Linked DNA regions of Diceros bicornis minor. The protein of the gene in region 1 purifies or fractionates together with the protein of each later gene. This does not show direct contact. Links are inferred from orthologs where the notes say so. Each region holds a gene or a part of one and is shown on either strand. Other genes may lie near its edges.

Region 1 (7,902 bases):
TGTATGCCACTGTCGGCCCATAAGGCTCTTATAGCAGGAAGGTACTGTAGAAAAACCCGGGTTTCCACCATGCCCTGGGCCGCCATGGGGGACCGCGTGTCAAATGCCATCATCACATCTCCATTGAGCTGGTTTGAGTTATCTCCCCAAGGAATGTGAAGCTTCTCTCGAGCATCTACCAGCACCCTCATACCTTTGTTTAAAAAGAAAAAAAAAAGTGTGATAGGAGTCATTAGATATTCTCATAGATTCTATTCCAGTATTATTTTCTTAAACTTCTTAACTGCTCCAGGCCCACCACCTCCAAAATGGAGACCAACATCAAAACAAACACCATAACTTCTCAGAGCTTAAAAAAACTAACAGTTGTTCAGAGTCATAAAATTAGAGCCTTGAAAAGCAAATACTATTAACATAATTGTTCTTTCTGAAGACTTTTCACATTTCTAATTTATAAAATAACTTCTGGGGTAGAAGGTAGTCACAAGAGAACTAAAACTAGTGAAGGAAAAAGAAATTATACTGCATAGCCCGATGTCCAGGCTCTGGAGAAAACGGCTGCAACCAAGATTTTATGAGCCTCTCAAAGACATTTATTTATGAAACGCCAAGAACCAAACATTATCGCTGTGTTCTGTTTGTTCCCTGAGCACCCTGCTTATAAGCCAACACTGAGTCTTCTAGGATCACATTCAAAACTCAAACACTTCTCTCATACCAAGCTTCAAATCAGTGTAAGTCACAGGATGGCCTTCGATTTCCCTAAAAGGGAGGAAGATCAACTGCAAAAGAGAGAGAGATTTCCACTCACAGAGATTAGTTCAAACTCAATATTTCTATCACTAAACTGTTACCTTGGTCCATCTTAATAGTCACATGACTATTAAGTCATTTGTTTGGACAACTGAAAAATTGTTTTGCTGTCAATTTTCTCATCATGCCAACTCAAAAAAAGTAGATGTCTAGTGACTTCATCTCACAAACAATGCTCAAAGTAGGTCACACTTAGGACCTAGTGCACATTAAGAACCAGGTGTTTACCTGGCTCATAATCAGTTAACATGTTGACTCTATTCTTTGACATAATTCCATAAGATCAGCTGCATCAGGATACAAAGGTACCTTCAATTAAAGACTGGCAAGGCGGAGTCTTCGGCCTTGAAAGGGACCTTAGTTTTGTGCTCAACATTAAGATAGGATAAGCACAACTTTTCGCACAGCTTAACTGCAGCGATACTAGGGCTCAGAGCTAGCTGTGGTCTGTGAACTCCTGGCCCTGTGTTTTACTCCCCTCCATTACCCCCCAGTACTCCCCCCAGCCCAAGCAGTTTTCCTCTACCCAATCCTGGGAGAAAAAAAAGCCACACAAAGGAGTTGCTTAAGTACTTCCAGAATAAAAGAATCCCACTTAAAAAAACACTGCTTGAAAACACCCGAAATCTGTAGCAAACTCCTAAGTAATTGCTACCCAGATAAAATAAAAAGAATCCTGATGCACCTGAAGTACCAGGCTCTGCATCTCAATTTTGCGAAAATGCCTTTTATGCAGAAAACATCTGATACTAAGAAAAATGAGTTCTAATTACTGTTCAAATGACAAAATAAAAACCATCATCTCTAATTCTTTGAAAGCCCAGACATAAAATTCTTGTTAACTTTTCACTCAAGGACAAAGTTTACCTTTAATTTTAAAAATACTGTCAGAAGCAGAGCCTATGATTCAAGCCGACGATTCATTGACTCAACCTGTACAGGCTCCGCATCACTTTTAGGCCAAAGATTCTTCCTATCAAAGCACGACTTCATTTAAATAGTAGAAGCAAGTGGTGGGTACCCCCTCCCCTCCGCCCGCCCCCAGTTATTAAGCAAAAAGGAGAGTGGAACGTGTTGCATAGTGATTACAGGCAAACATCCTGCCCGACCGTGACACTGAGGCGAAAAACCACTGATGCTAATTTTTTCAGACGAACTGTATGGGTCTACCCTTTCCTGATGCCAGCACAGTAAACATGACACCCTCAAGTTTCACATCCTTGCCCAAAAATGCCCCAGGGCCTGTCACTCTTCGCCCTTGACAAGAGTCTCAGGCAAAAGTTTTCTTATCGCAACGGTTCCAGAAATCCCTTGCTCAGGAGGCGGCCAAGGAAGCGGGGAGTTGGGAGCAGACCCGACCCCATCTGACTCGGGTCACCCACCCGGGGCGGCGAGGTTGGGCAGGCAGCGCCCGAGCAGGGGGTGGGGGTGCAGGGGTTGGCTCTCGGGTCTTCCCGCCTCGTCTGGAGGGAAGAAGACAGGAGAGGTCGCCCCGGAGCCCGGGCACCGGGCTCGCCTCACTTCCCCCTCGGAGGGGGCGAGGCCAACGGCGGGGTGGGGGGTAAGGGGCTGGCCGTGACCCCCACTCCGACGGGAAGGGCGAAGCGAGGGGCCCCCCGACATCCTCTCCCTGGGGCGCGACGGCACCCCGGGCAGGCGGGACGGTGCCCTGGCCGCGCCCCCTTCCCGCCCGCTCGCCGGGCCCGCTCCTCCGCCAGGGACAGAGCGAACGAGGGCGGTGCCCGGCCCCGCGCCGGCCGCCCCCGGCCCCCGCCCTCGGCCCCCCGACCCCGGCCCGGCACCTTTGATCACGTTGCTGTAGATGGTGGGGCGGAACTCCTCGCGCGCACGCTGGTCGAAGTCCTGCCCGTGGATGATCCGCATCTGCTTCAGGAAGGTGGACTTGCCGCTCTCGCCCGCGCCCAGTAGCAGGATCTTCACCAGTCGCTTCACGTAGGTCTTCTCCCGGGACAGGCATTTGTCGATCTCCTTGGACTTGCGCTGCTGCTCGGCCTCGCCGCTCGTCAGCACGCAGCCGGGGAAGCACACGGACAGCACGGACCGCGACGGCAGGAAGTCCGCCATCTTGCCGCCGCCGCCGCCGCCTCGGCGGGCCCCTCCGGCTCCCTCCACCTCCTCCTCGGGCGGCGGGCGGCTCCGGCTCCGCGGCTCGAGGGCGGGGAGCGCTGCGGCGGCCCGAGCGCGCCGGGGGAGGGAGGGAACGAGCGACTGACTCGCAGGGCGGGCCGCGCAGGGCGGGCCAGGCGAGCGGGGAGGGAGGGTAAGAGGGCGGGCCCGGGAGGGGCGGTGGCCCCAGGGGCGTGCGCGCGCTCGCTGCCTCCCGGGGGCGCGCACGCACGCCGCGCCCGCTCTCCCGCCTCCCGCTCTGGGCCGGCGAGCCACGCTCTAGCTCGCGTGCCCGCGGCCGCCGGCGGGCTCGTGCGGGGGCGGTGGGCGGGGGGGGGGCCCCCGCTAGGAGCGGTCACGTGGTCTCCCGCCAGGTCGGGGGCGCTCTTAGTCTGCGGAGCTCGACTTTGTTTACCTTTAATGAGCTGCGCCCACTTAGGGGCAGAAAGGCTACTTCCCCGAGCTCTGGAGGCCGGAGACCGGATCCCGGACACTCCGTTTGGGCCTCCCAACCGCTCCCGCCGTTCTTACACCCGGGTTACGTGCCCGCCGCCGCTTGCTGTCACCGTTCGCGCGCCTTACTTCGAGGCCATTGGATCGAAAGTTATTCGAACAGTGGGCGCAAGCCTGGAAGACTTCTGATGCGTTTTCTTAAGGTGGCTCCCTTGACATCCTGCTCTCCCAAGCCCAGAATGATAACCAAACGTCGTCAATCTCCGCCCCAGCTCCCCCCGCCCCCAGCTCTTTTTGGCATTCTCAGACCTCTGCAAAGACCCTCCGTTGAGGAGAAATAACTCGAGTTGATGTTAATCTGAGATGGGCAAGGAGGGGTTGTTAATGTGGATCCCCGAGCTGCCGCGCTGAAATCAGTGGATGGTAGCTGGAGGAGGGTGAGGTCATGGTGAAAATCCCCCTGAACCGGACACTGTGATGCAGACTCTTCCCTACAAGGAAGCAGATAAGCAAACAGACCGAGGACGGGAGCAGGCAAATTTTAGGTTTCCTGCCAGATTACAGAGGATATGACCAGCCAAGGGACTTTTTTCTGTTCTAATAGCAGATTCAGGCCAGGACACCTGAAAGGGCTGCCAGGAGACAAGTGACAAGTGACAGCTGAGTTGGAAGAGAGACTGCTTAGCAAGGGCCCCGGAAGCCAACTTCTTCATTCTTAATATTTAGTTTCAAGGGGAAAAAGCCGTTTTGGTCCATGTCTGTTTTTGGCAGTGCAATCATAATACTTCTTGATTTGAGCTCCTGTAGCTCAGAAACTACCTATGTGTTAGGCAGTGGAGCTAAGAGATCAGCATTCTGAGGCTCATGAACAGGTTTAAATAAAAAAAATCAGTGCTCATCAGTGTACTGTCAGGGTTGGGTTAATGGTTGAGGAGACTCATGACTCAGTAAATTAGCTGCAGTAAACAATGCATGTAGTAAGATTATCTCCTGTTGTCCTGGCCAAGACCATAGGGTGGACCATGTACAACATACAGAGTAGGGTAGGTTCAACTTCAGTATCTATAGATTGATAGGGTCAGAATCATTGGGCAGTGCCTTCAAGCAAAATGTATGGTACAAGTCTACCCCGGATGGATGGAAGATCTCTCTCTAGTCTCAACTAGTGTTCAGGAGGCCCTGTTCTCCCATCATGAAAGGACGAATCTCTGCTCAGAACTGAGGTGTAGCATTGCCTCCGAAGCACCATTCCTACATGGACTCCTGGTGCTAATCTGAACTCTTCTGCAAAAAGAGAAGGAGCGAAGCCTGTAAGCTAGGTAGTTAACATCTTTTTTTTTCCACCCAAAGCGTGTGCAACATAATGGAGAACCAAGGATGCCTAGGAGGCAGGAAGATATTCCTGCCCAGCCAGTTCATGCTGTGACATGTAGAGCAGCAGAGAAAGCTGTTCAAAGCCCTGCCCGTAACCTTGTGTTGGAACAGCTTGGCTCGGATCAAGCCTAGCTGCTCTAATCAGCGTTTCTGAAAAAGAGACCTCTTTGGGCCCAGCCTGGGGTTTGGCTACAGTAGTACAAATGCTTCTAACTGTCTGGTAATCAGGCCACCTTGAAATTGTAAGCATAAAAATGAGTTAGAGGTTTGGTGGTTCCTCAGAAAGTTAAACATAGAATTGCCATATGACCCAGCAATTCCACTCCTGGGTATATATCAAAAATAATTGAAAACAGGTGTTCAAACAAAAAATTATATACCTCTGTTCATGACAGCACTATTCAGAATAGCCAGAAGGTGAGAACAACCCATATATGCATCAGTGGAGGAACAGATAAACATAATGTAGTATATCTATACAATGGAATTATTCAGCCCTAAGAAGAAATAAGTGCTGATACATGCTGCAACATGGATGCACGCTGAAAACATTATGCTAAGCAAAAGAAGCCATACATAAAAGGCAACATATTGTAAGGTTCCGTTTATATGAAATGTCAAGAATAGATAAATCCATAGGAACAACAGATTAATAATTGCCAGGGGTTAGGAGGAGAGAAGAATTGGGAGTGACTTCTTAACGGGTACAGGGTTTCTTTTTGGGGTGGTGAAGATGTTTAGGAACTAGATAGTGGTAGTGGTTGCAGAACATAAATGCCCCTGAACTGTACACTTTAAAATGGTCAAATGATGAATTTGATGTTATGTGAATTTTACCACAATAAAAAATGAGGTAGGGAAAATAATATTTTCCATAAAAGCAATGTCATTGACATCATTTAACATTGAAATACCCACAATGTGTAATATTCAATAAATGAAAGTACAATTGTGTTTATTTTGAAATAACATTAACAATTTAAATTATTTGCACCAGAAGCAAATCTACCCTAGCAGTTGCATTGTTACAGTGTAATGATATTAGTGATGTTTTAATTTTCAGATAGGTTGTTTCATAACTGAAAAAAAAATCCAAACTTTTTAAGAGAGTAGAGAGTCTATTGGATCTGCTGAGTGCTATATTTCCAGTAGACTCATTGTTAATTCATTGGAAACATCTGTATTGTTGCTAGCCAGTTAATCCATGTGCAAATGAGGGCTTCAGATGCCCCAAGGAGCTGTGATAAAATGATTGAATGGTTGATTTGTTCCTATGCTCTTTTCTTTCTGGAAACTCAAGATCTAATGGCAAACAGTCCTGCAAGATAAATAATGAATGTGTGACTAAAAATGTAGAAATGGACATTTCCAAATGGCCTTTCTCCTCTGATGTGGTCACCTTAGGAAGGAACAAGCCATTCCCAACAATACTGCCAATTCTTGAAATCTACTACTTTTAACTCTTCTGTTTGAACTGAAAGAAAGATCAGCTTCCTATCTTATAGTCATAGCTTTTTTTCAATTAAAAAAAATGGTGTTGCTTAGGTCACTTACTGTCTTCATGCGAAATAACTTTGGGCTGTTTACAGAAATCAGTATTAGCCACAAAAGACAAAAATTTGTCACCCTCAGACATATTCAAAAGAATGTGCCAGAGGCTCTAGGAATAATTCCAAAAGAGGAGTTAAAAAAATTTTTCTTTGAATCATGAGAAATATAATTTAAATAAGTATTTCACCTGCCAAGATGACTGCTCACTGCTCTGGATAGGACAACACCCATTTGGATATGTTTACTTAAAAATCAGTCACATTACTGATGTTATTAAACCTTGTGTTAATTTTCTAGTAAGAATGATGACACATCCAGCATTCTTGTTACACAACTCTGCTCTATCTCATCTTCATATAAAATAGATGGATTCTAATCCTTTCTCACAGATAAAACAGGCATGGATTTTTTTCTATCTTCCTTCCTTTCCATACTAGAAGAGAAAGGGAATTCCCTAGCCCTCCCGTAATACAAATCCCTTACGTTTGTGTAATGTTTTAAACGCCCCAAAGCACTTTGACCTACTTTATCTCATTCTCTGCTCACAGTAGCCTGACTAGGAACACCCATCATTAACCTCGCTTCCATCACACAGGAGGAAGCTGAGAGGAAGAAAAGTTTAACTCAGCTTGGCCAATTACAGAGCACCCTCTTTTGACTCTGAATCCAGTGCTCTTTCTGATTTGCCAAAATGGTGGTTAGGCCCCTAATGCCCACGTGTATGAAGTTCAAACTTAAGAAACAAGTAGCTAACTGTACTTAACTGTGAGTCACCATAGAGTCCAGTAGTTTTCTTTGTTTGTTTATTTGTTGATTGGTGGGTTGGTCTGTTTTTCCAGCCCCTTTTGGACTGACTGCCATCTCCAAGTTTACCAGCTCTTAGACTGATTCTGGTAAGATATTCTGTACTTTGAGCTCAGCCTCTGGTTTGTAAAATGTTCCAGGTGGCTGATGCAGAAATAAAAGAAGAGCCAAGCTTATGGCAATATTTACATGGTGTGTAAGCCCCAGACGTTTCCTTAATGTGAGTTAGATATGAAAAGGCACCTTTTTTGTAATGAAGTTTGATGGTGCCCTTACCAGAATAAGCCTCTCATGTGGAAAGTTTCTTATGAAACTAGACATGTGGAATTGCATTGTTGGTGGGTTTTTTGTTATTATTATTAATGGAAAACATGACTTTAATTGCTGGTTGTATTTTTCTCAGCCTCTGAGAAAGATCCATGAGCTGCCGTTGACCAGCTGTGACTTCACTCAGCTTATCCAAAGTCAGAAGCCTGTGCTATCTTAAAGACACACACCAGCACGCGTATATAAACTCTTACACCTTGCTGACTGCATCGGACTCGTTTATGGGCAATCTATTTATATAACACTAAACACAAGGCTTTGCCTGTAAATCTGAGATTCTTTCTGAGAAACTCAAAACATCCTGCTCAGTCTCTCTCCTTTATTTTCCCTTCCAGCTTTTAAAGATGAGAAATACTTTTTATGTTTTGTTGCCCGTAAATGGGCTGCCCCTTGCCAGAAACAGTAAGGGTTCTTTAACATAAGTTCTGTTTCTCCAGGGAAGTTTAAGTCTGC
Region 2 (7,597 bases), on another chromosome or scaffold:
TTGTTATTCAGTTTGTCTCAGCTACTAGGGGTGTTGATGGGAAAGAGTTGGTTTCTAAGGTACCCACAGACAGGAAGGTACCAAGCTTGGGAGGCTGGAGTGCACACCTGGGAGGTGACCCCACAGACAATGCGAACCTCCTCTCAGTGGGAGTTAAGGTGAGAAGCCTTTTCTCCACTAAATGCCTTGAGATCCTCAAAAGTGATGAGGGGCAAATTTCGGGGGGCGATATCTCAAGGAACACCGAGACGGGAGATGAAGAACTGACAGACTAAGGTAAAATTTGCTGGTCACTGCACCGTGGGAAAAATACCTGTCTAGAGGGCTGAGGAGTTAAATGGCTGACCTCTCCTTCCAGCTCCACTCTCCCTAATTTCTCCTCAACAAGCCCTGCCCCTCTTCTGTCTTTCTGAGAAGGTTCTGCCTGTGCATTGTTCCTTTGTTTTATCTTTGCCCCCAGTGCCTGGCATGGTGCCTATAACATAAGGCAGTACAGTTGACAGTTAAGCACAGACTCTGGGAACAGACTGCCTGGGTTCCCAGCTCTGTGACCCTAAGCAAGTTATTTTACCTCTCTGGGCCTGTTTCCCACTTGAAAATGGGGATAATAATAACTACCTCAAAATGGATCTAATGGTTAATACTTGCAGTTTGTTTAGAACAGTATTTACATAGTAAGCATTATATATGTTTTGGTATTATTATTGCTTCATACTAAAATTTTATTGGGAACTCAACAGGTTGAATGAACAGAATACTCTGAGTGACAATGAAATGATGTCTGTAACAGAGGTTTAATATTGGTTATTCTGGCTACCCAGAAGCATTCTAGAGAAATCTAAATCAGCAAAAAATAAACCATAAAATTTTCTCACCCTTAGGCTTAAATAATACCTTAATTAAGCAAGCCTCTCATCATCTTTCCAACTGACAAAGGTTGAAGAGGGATAAAAGATCTCCAATAAATAGTGGCACTATCCCTCCAGTGGTGATTTTATTTTGCTAGGCCTGTCCCCTAACAGCACCCTGGAAGGAGAATGACTGAAGCATGGAGTCCATCTCTCTAGAAGATACATCTGGTTTGGGCTGGGGATGTCTGTGCACGAATGTTTCTCTAGAACTCACACTGTGAGCCATCCAAGGTTCTCCATCACAACTCTCCCTCGGCTCTTCAATTAAGTATTAGGTTTCTAGAATCACTCTCAGCAAATCAAAGCTGACCATACCTGCTTTTTCCTTTGCTTCTCACACTTAAAAATGAGGATGTGTGAATTCTAGCTTCAATCTATCAATTAATGGGATTTCATGCAAATCACCTAAAACCTCTCTGTGCCATAGTTTCCTCCAGTGTAAATGAATTTAACATAACTTATGCCCTCTCTATCCCACAGGATGGTGGACAGAGGAAAGGATTCATTTATTAAGTTTTGTGGGGAAAGTTAAAAGGATTATGTCGATTCAAGATATTACTTCTTAACATTTATCCTGATTTCCCTGCCCAGCACTCTACAGTTTATAGAGCCCATGCTCGATCTCATTTAATGCTTACAATCTGCAAACAGTAGGTCACAAAGCTAGAAAGTGATACAGCCCAAACAAACTCAGTTCTTTGAACTCATAGTCTAGTGCTCTTTCCATTAACCAATAGCTGCTTCCAGATTCCTACCACCTAGATTGTCCTGGGTGCAATCTAATCTATTTTTTGTCCTAAACTGAGACTTGCAATTTGCTTAAATGGCCAGCTAACTTTAGGGAACTCTATCCTGCTAAAGCCACCCCCATCCCCATAGTCTTCAAAGTGGAGCATACAAAGAGACTCACTGGTGTGCAAGAGGAAAATATTTAAGAATGCCTTCACAATACTATTTAACTATGGCAAAAATAATTATTTAAGCTTTATTAATACTAATCTTTGACATATGGGCTGACCCAGCACTCTCACTGGGTCATCTGTCACAGGCAGTATGTGAGATGTTTCCAGGAACCAGTGGTAATGCCATCCACAGTTCAGACATTCATTTTCTTCATAATGTATGCCATCCACTGGACGAAAATAAGCCTGTTAATTGCTACAAACTTTACAATTCTTAATAAAGACAGGAGAATGACCATGAAAATCTTTGTTCTGCAGAGATTCATTGGTTATCTTCCGGGAAAGGCCTAAAAAGAGGTATTGAACATAGAGGAGATACACATTTTTATTTGACAATGTTCTGTGATGCGAAATGGCTAGAAAGAGTATACTATCTAGCCCTTATTTTCAAAAACAAAAACACACAATGACAACAACAACAATCCACTTAATCTGTTCCTTCAAGATGAAGATGACAGTCATTAAGTGAGAGAGTCATTGTTTTTCTAAAGAAACTCATCCTTATGGAGAAAGCATTTTGAAGATCCATGACTGGAAATGTTTCCAATATCGTGATTTTTTTTTGAATTACCAAAAACAATGTGTTTCACCTATAAAACTTTTGTCTGCATACTTGAAAAACTAGGAAACAGAATTTGAAAATCTGTTTTAAAAATCTAAATGAAGCTTCTTGGCGAGTTTGAACCCATTTGTTAAAAATATAAATGCAACACCTTCCAATCATTCAAGGACTGATTGATTTAAGATGTAAATTTACTAGTGGAATTTCAATTAAAAGTCTTTGCATCGTGGTTAATGGAACTGGAAAATGAGTAACATAATTTAATAAATGCAATCGAGGATGCTCTTCTTCTGCTTGAATCTACCTTTTTGATAAGCATCTTTTCCAGTTATAATAGTCATTAACTTTCATTAAAAAGCATGATTTAAAAAATGTACTTCATCTTTATTTCCATCTTTTAATATTTCTACTCTAGGGCATGTTTTATAAGGTACGTAATAAAATACATGTAAATAATTGTTTTAAAAATATTACACATATTAAGAAAGCATGACAAGAAAAATGTTTGGTGACCACTGGTCTATCAGCACAGAGGAAGTGTCCACATTTGGAAGCATCATTTTTGCAGGTAGTATAAACTATTTTGCAGGGACTAAACAAGAAAGACAGTAGCAATTTGGACTGTGGTGCTTCAGATGCCTGGCAGACCACCTGTCTTTCCCTCTGGCCTAGGGGTTGGAGATGGCAGGGAAGGCAGTAGGTCTGTCTTTTATGTGCCACCTTGTACCTGGTGTAATTTAGAGGAAGCTCCTGGTTCATTGTAAGTTCTCAAGTGATGCTTATTAGTTTCTTTTCCCTCTTGCTGTTTGCAAACCCACAACTTCTGCTAACACTGCTGGGGTCACTCAGCTCCTTCTACACTGCTTATGGATGTGCGTGGGGAAATATACATATACATATCATTTCCCCCAAGAACAATCAAGGTGGTGTGGAAGGGAGACAACATATGCAAACACACCACTGCCTGCAGAGTATTTCACAACAGCATTTACCTAGGCAAGAAGATAAAGTTCACTCCCCAGTCCTAAAGAAATAGTTTCCTTTTCATCTTAATTATTTTTAACCATAACGCTTGGGACCTTCTGACTAATGTCATGTTACTTGGAAAGATTTAGTAACTGTGATTCTATGAGAGGGGGTTATGAAAATAGAATTGTCCTTGAAAGGCTTTTCCATCGAGTTCAAAACCAGTTTACACAGCCTGGTATTAAGATGCCCAAACCAACCAGAGGGGGAAGAGTGAAGGGTCTCTTCCCCGATTGTTGGCGGGTGTTAGAAATGGGGAGGGCCACAGAACCGGGACGAAAAGAGCTCCTGACACCCAGGAAGGAGGCTGCGACAAATTTTTGAAAAATAAGATGAGACAAGAGGCGGAGACAGGGTGAGCAGTGGCGGTGGGAGAGCAGGGGTGATGCTGGTGAACGCCAAGACAGAAACCCATAAACATGGGGAGGGGGTCGGGGGCGCCGGGCACCGTAAGAGGGTGGGAAGGAGGCAAGAAACAAAGGTCGGGTCTTGAGCACAGGACAGTAAAAAGGGGGAAAGCAGCTAAGAGAAAGCGGCGAGAAGGAGGCAGCGGTGGTGACCACGGCGGGGGTGGCGCCCGGTGAGGCCGGGGTCGCCGGCCCGGCGGGCCGGGACAAGCCGGGGATCCGGCTGAGCCCGGGAGCAGCTAGGCCGCGCCGAGGGGCCGGGCCGGCGACTGTGGGGCCACGGAGGGGACCGGCCGAGGAGCGGCGGCGAGGGGCCGCAGCGGGGCAGAGCGCGCAGGGACGCCCGGAGCGGGGCCGGCGGGAGTAGCGGCCGCCAGACCCGACGGAGGGCCCAGCGGTCAGCTTCCCGCCCCCACCCCGCCGCGGCGTGAGGGGAAAGGCCGGCGGGCTGCGGCGCGCGGAGGAGGAGCCTGCGGCCCCGCCCCCGTCGGAGCGAGGGAAGGAGAAAGGCTCGCGGGGAAGGAGGGAGGGTGCGGGGAGGGGGCGGCCGGCCGGGCCTGCGCCCGAGCGAGCGGCGAGTGAGGGGGAAGGGGCCCGGAAGGAGGCGAGCGCGGCCGCGACGCCAGGAGCCGGACGGCCGCCCGTGCCGGCCTGCCGCCGCCGCCGCCTTCCCTGCGTGCGCCCGAGCCCGGAGTCCCGCGGCCGCGGAGGCCGGAGCGCGGCGGTCGGGCGTGGGGCGAGCGGGCGAGCGGGGCCGGGAGCCGGAGGCCGCCGGCGGTGCTGCGCGAGGCGCGGGGGGCTCCTGCCGGCGAGAGGAGGCAAGGGGCGGAGAGGGAGGAAAAAGAGGCCGAGAGAAGCCCGGCGGTCGGATTTTCCAGGAGGCTGGTGTGGAGGAAAATCCCACCGCGAACTCAAATCCACAATAATAATCCAAACTATTCATAATAGGGAAGCAGTTTTGCTGGCCGGGCGAGAGGGAGAGAAGGGGGAACGGCAGGAAGCGAAATCTCCGTTTCATGGAGGCTGAGGCGAGAGAAAATTTCGGAGCCTGGATGTGGAGGAGCAAAACAGAACTAACTCAGGAAATTGTCCTTCAGAAAAAGGCCGAACCTAGGCTGGGGCTGAGAATCTGGCTGATGTAGGTGGAGAAACCTGCCAAGTTTAAAGGAAAAAGAAAAGGAGAGGATATTTTCAGAGATTTTCTCTGGTTTGTGGTTATTGCTACCATTTTAAAGGTAGACAGCATTGCATTTCAGGTGCAAATTTTTTTTTTTCTCATGCGATTGGCTCGTTTAAGAATTTCAAAACCTTTAATGTAAAAGCTTTTTTTTTTTTTTTAAAGGAAATCCGTGATTTTGGTTCCCAGGGTTGCACTGAACTTGGAAGGAGTGCTGTTGTGTACATACTATTGTATAGTTTTATTTATTTATTTTTTTTACTGTGCAAATCAGCTGGAAGATTTTTTCCAAGTGCCAATTCGGATTTATTCATCCTTTTTTTTTTTTTTCTTCCCTCAAACATATCTGTTGTCGTTTTAAGCATTGGAGACCAGAGAATTTTTCCCCCCTTTGGAGCTTGAGGCTATCTTGCCAACAGAAGGACAGCTGGGAAAACTGGATTAAAAGGATGGTTTTTATCTGTATTTTGCAGTTAAGACTGATATTTTGAAGGCACATTCTTTCTGTGATTCATTTTTTCAGCCCATAGCACTAACCTTGAAGAGATTTGTGGTTGGGTTTTTGGTTTCTAAGGTCATAGTTTTTCCCCTTTTTTTTTTTTTCGTTTTTTTTTTTTTTTTAAGAGGGGGGTGAGGAAGGGGGGGCCAAGAAAGGAGACCATGTTAACTGGTAGAAGTAGAATGGAGCTTCAGTTACCAGGGTCCTGAGAGCTGAAGAAAAAGGATTCAGTTTTCAAGTTGGGAGGCCCTCCTCTCACCTTAAAAATTGCAAGCTATTCAATCCTGATCAAGACATCAGAACGACAGGATTCTGGAACTGTGGACACACCGAGAAACCATGAGTGTAAGGTTACCCCAGAGTATAGACAGGTAGGTTTGCTAATGTGGTTTTTCAACCCTTACTTAAGGAAAGACTGGGAGGGAGGGTGTTGAATTTTGATAAATGGTTGCAAAAGAAGGGTCTGAGTGGGCTGTGGGAATTGGTGGGGTAGGAGCATTGGTCTCTAGGGACTGCCTGGGCATGTGTGTTTATGTTCCCACTGTGTTGTGTCGGTGGTCAAAACATCTCTCCTGATTCAGTGTTTTTTTAAATACAAGCAATAGAGAGTGAAGCCAGGAGTGGGGAAAGATGGAGAAATGCTTCCAGCTGCCTTTGACTTTTGCCAGGCTAGAGGCTGAATTTGAGTCCCTAACTTGCCAGCCTAGGGGGTGGGAGGCGGGCGCAAGCCTGGTCACGTGAGCCCCAAGGGCGGATTGGGACTGGCTTTAGGTGTTGGAGCTGCAGGGGGAAGGGCCTTGGCAGGGGCATGGGCCTCCACTGGGCTGGTTGTTATGGAATGGTGGGGCTTGGTGATGGGGTGGATCCCATTTCTAGAATGAGAAGGATGTTCTTGGCCTGAATGATGGGACAGAAACACCCTTTGCGCCCATACGGGTCTGGATTTTTACCAGTGGCTGATAATGGCCTCAAGATGCGTAGGTCACATTAGAATTTCTTCCTCTCCAAGCTTAGAGTTTAAATTGAGACCTGCCAACCGGCTGATGCTCTCGGTTTAATCTTCCATGCCATTTTTCATAAGCTTGACTCGGCAGAATGGGCCTTCCCTCTGCCTAGAACCGGAAGGAGTTGTTTTGTGCTCCTCGGCCTGATGGGCAGAGGCACTGGCCCTTAGAGTCTGAGCACAGGATGCCCTTCCCCCACAAGAGTCTGCCCAGCCTCCCCATCACTGGTGACGCTACAGTTTACAACTTCGTAAGGTGTCTGCTTGTTCCCTCCCTCCCTTCCCCCTCCTCAACCCTTTCTCCTTGAGAATCTTGAGAGACAGTTGTTCCGTGGGTGCTGCACACATCGGAACTGGATAGATGGGTGGATGGAAGACTGAACCAGCAAGTGAAAGGACTGGGCCTGGAAAAAATATTATTGGAGAGAGAGGGAAGAATATTTGCAAGGGAGCAAATATTCTTTCTTCATGTCCAGTTAACCTTTGCTTATCCATGCTAATAATAATTTCTTTTTGGCTGTGGAATGTGGCCTAAAATGCATATAATCTCTCTCTCCCAAACACTAATCTCTGTATTGCCTCAGAGTCCTGTTTGGATTAGTTCAGCAGTATCCAGACGGGGACCTGACTTGGTAGTGGAGAGGAGAAGACAGACAGCCACAAAGGGCAGAAAGTATATGTGGCTGGTTCTAACCTCCATCTCTTCCCCTTTTTGTTGGCTTCTCTGTAGTTTGACTCTTGTGAAGGCAGACTGGGGGCATGTCAAGGCAAGGGATTGAAATGGTTACACGGCTGTTCTTCTTTTCATCGTCTTGGAGTTTGGGAATCAATGCACATGGCTTTTTGAGATCTGAATGGTGAACTATTTCTCTGGATTCAGGGATGTGAGAAGATGGAAACCCAGGTGTTGGGGGGTGCAAGAAGGAGGCAATGAGAGTTCCTGTGCTGACGCGGGATGCTCCTCTGGGAGTTTGTATATCCTCACCGTCTTCTCAGGATTTGTATAGCATGGTACGATTTCCTAAGTGCTTTCATAGGAGCATATCTCAT

What was found. The genes of interacting proteins can lie anywhere in the genome.
Region 2: the proteins of GNA13 (region 1) and ARHGEF11 purify together in Homo sapiens (affinity purification with western blotting; 3 studies listed by BioGRID). This does not show direct contact. The link is inferred for Diceros bicornis minor from reciprocal best matches to the Homo sapiens genes GNA13 and ARHGEF11.

What each region holds. Positions count from the first base shown.
Region 1 is NC_080757.1:49,822,565-49,830,466, reverse strand, and holds the start of GNA13 (guanine nucleotide-binding protein subunit alpha-13), read right to left. Parts: upstream 3,043-7,902; 5' UTR 2,899-3,042; coding exon 2,616-2,898; intron 194-2,615; coding exon 1-193. UniProt on the Homo sapiens protein: Guanine nucleotide-binding proteins (G proteins) are involved as modulators or transducers in various transmembrane signaling systems.
Region 2 is NC_080743.1:60,525,644-60,533,240, reverse strand, and holds the start of ARHGEF11 (rho guanine nucleotide exchange factor 11), read left to right. Parts: upstream 1-4,505; 5' UTR 4,506-5,883; coding exon 5,884-5,915; intron 5,916-7,597. UniProt on the Homo sapiens protein: May play a role in the regulation of RhoA GTPase by guanine nucleotide-binding alpha-12 (GNA12) and alpha-13 (GNA13). Acts as guanine nucleotide exchange factor (GEF) for RhoA GTPase and may act as GTPase-activating protein (GAP) for GNA12 and GNA13.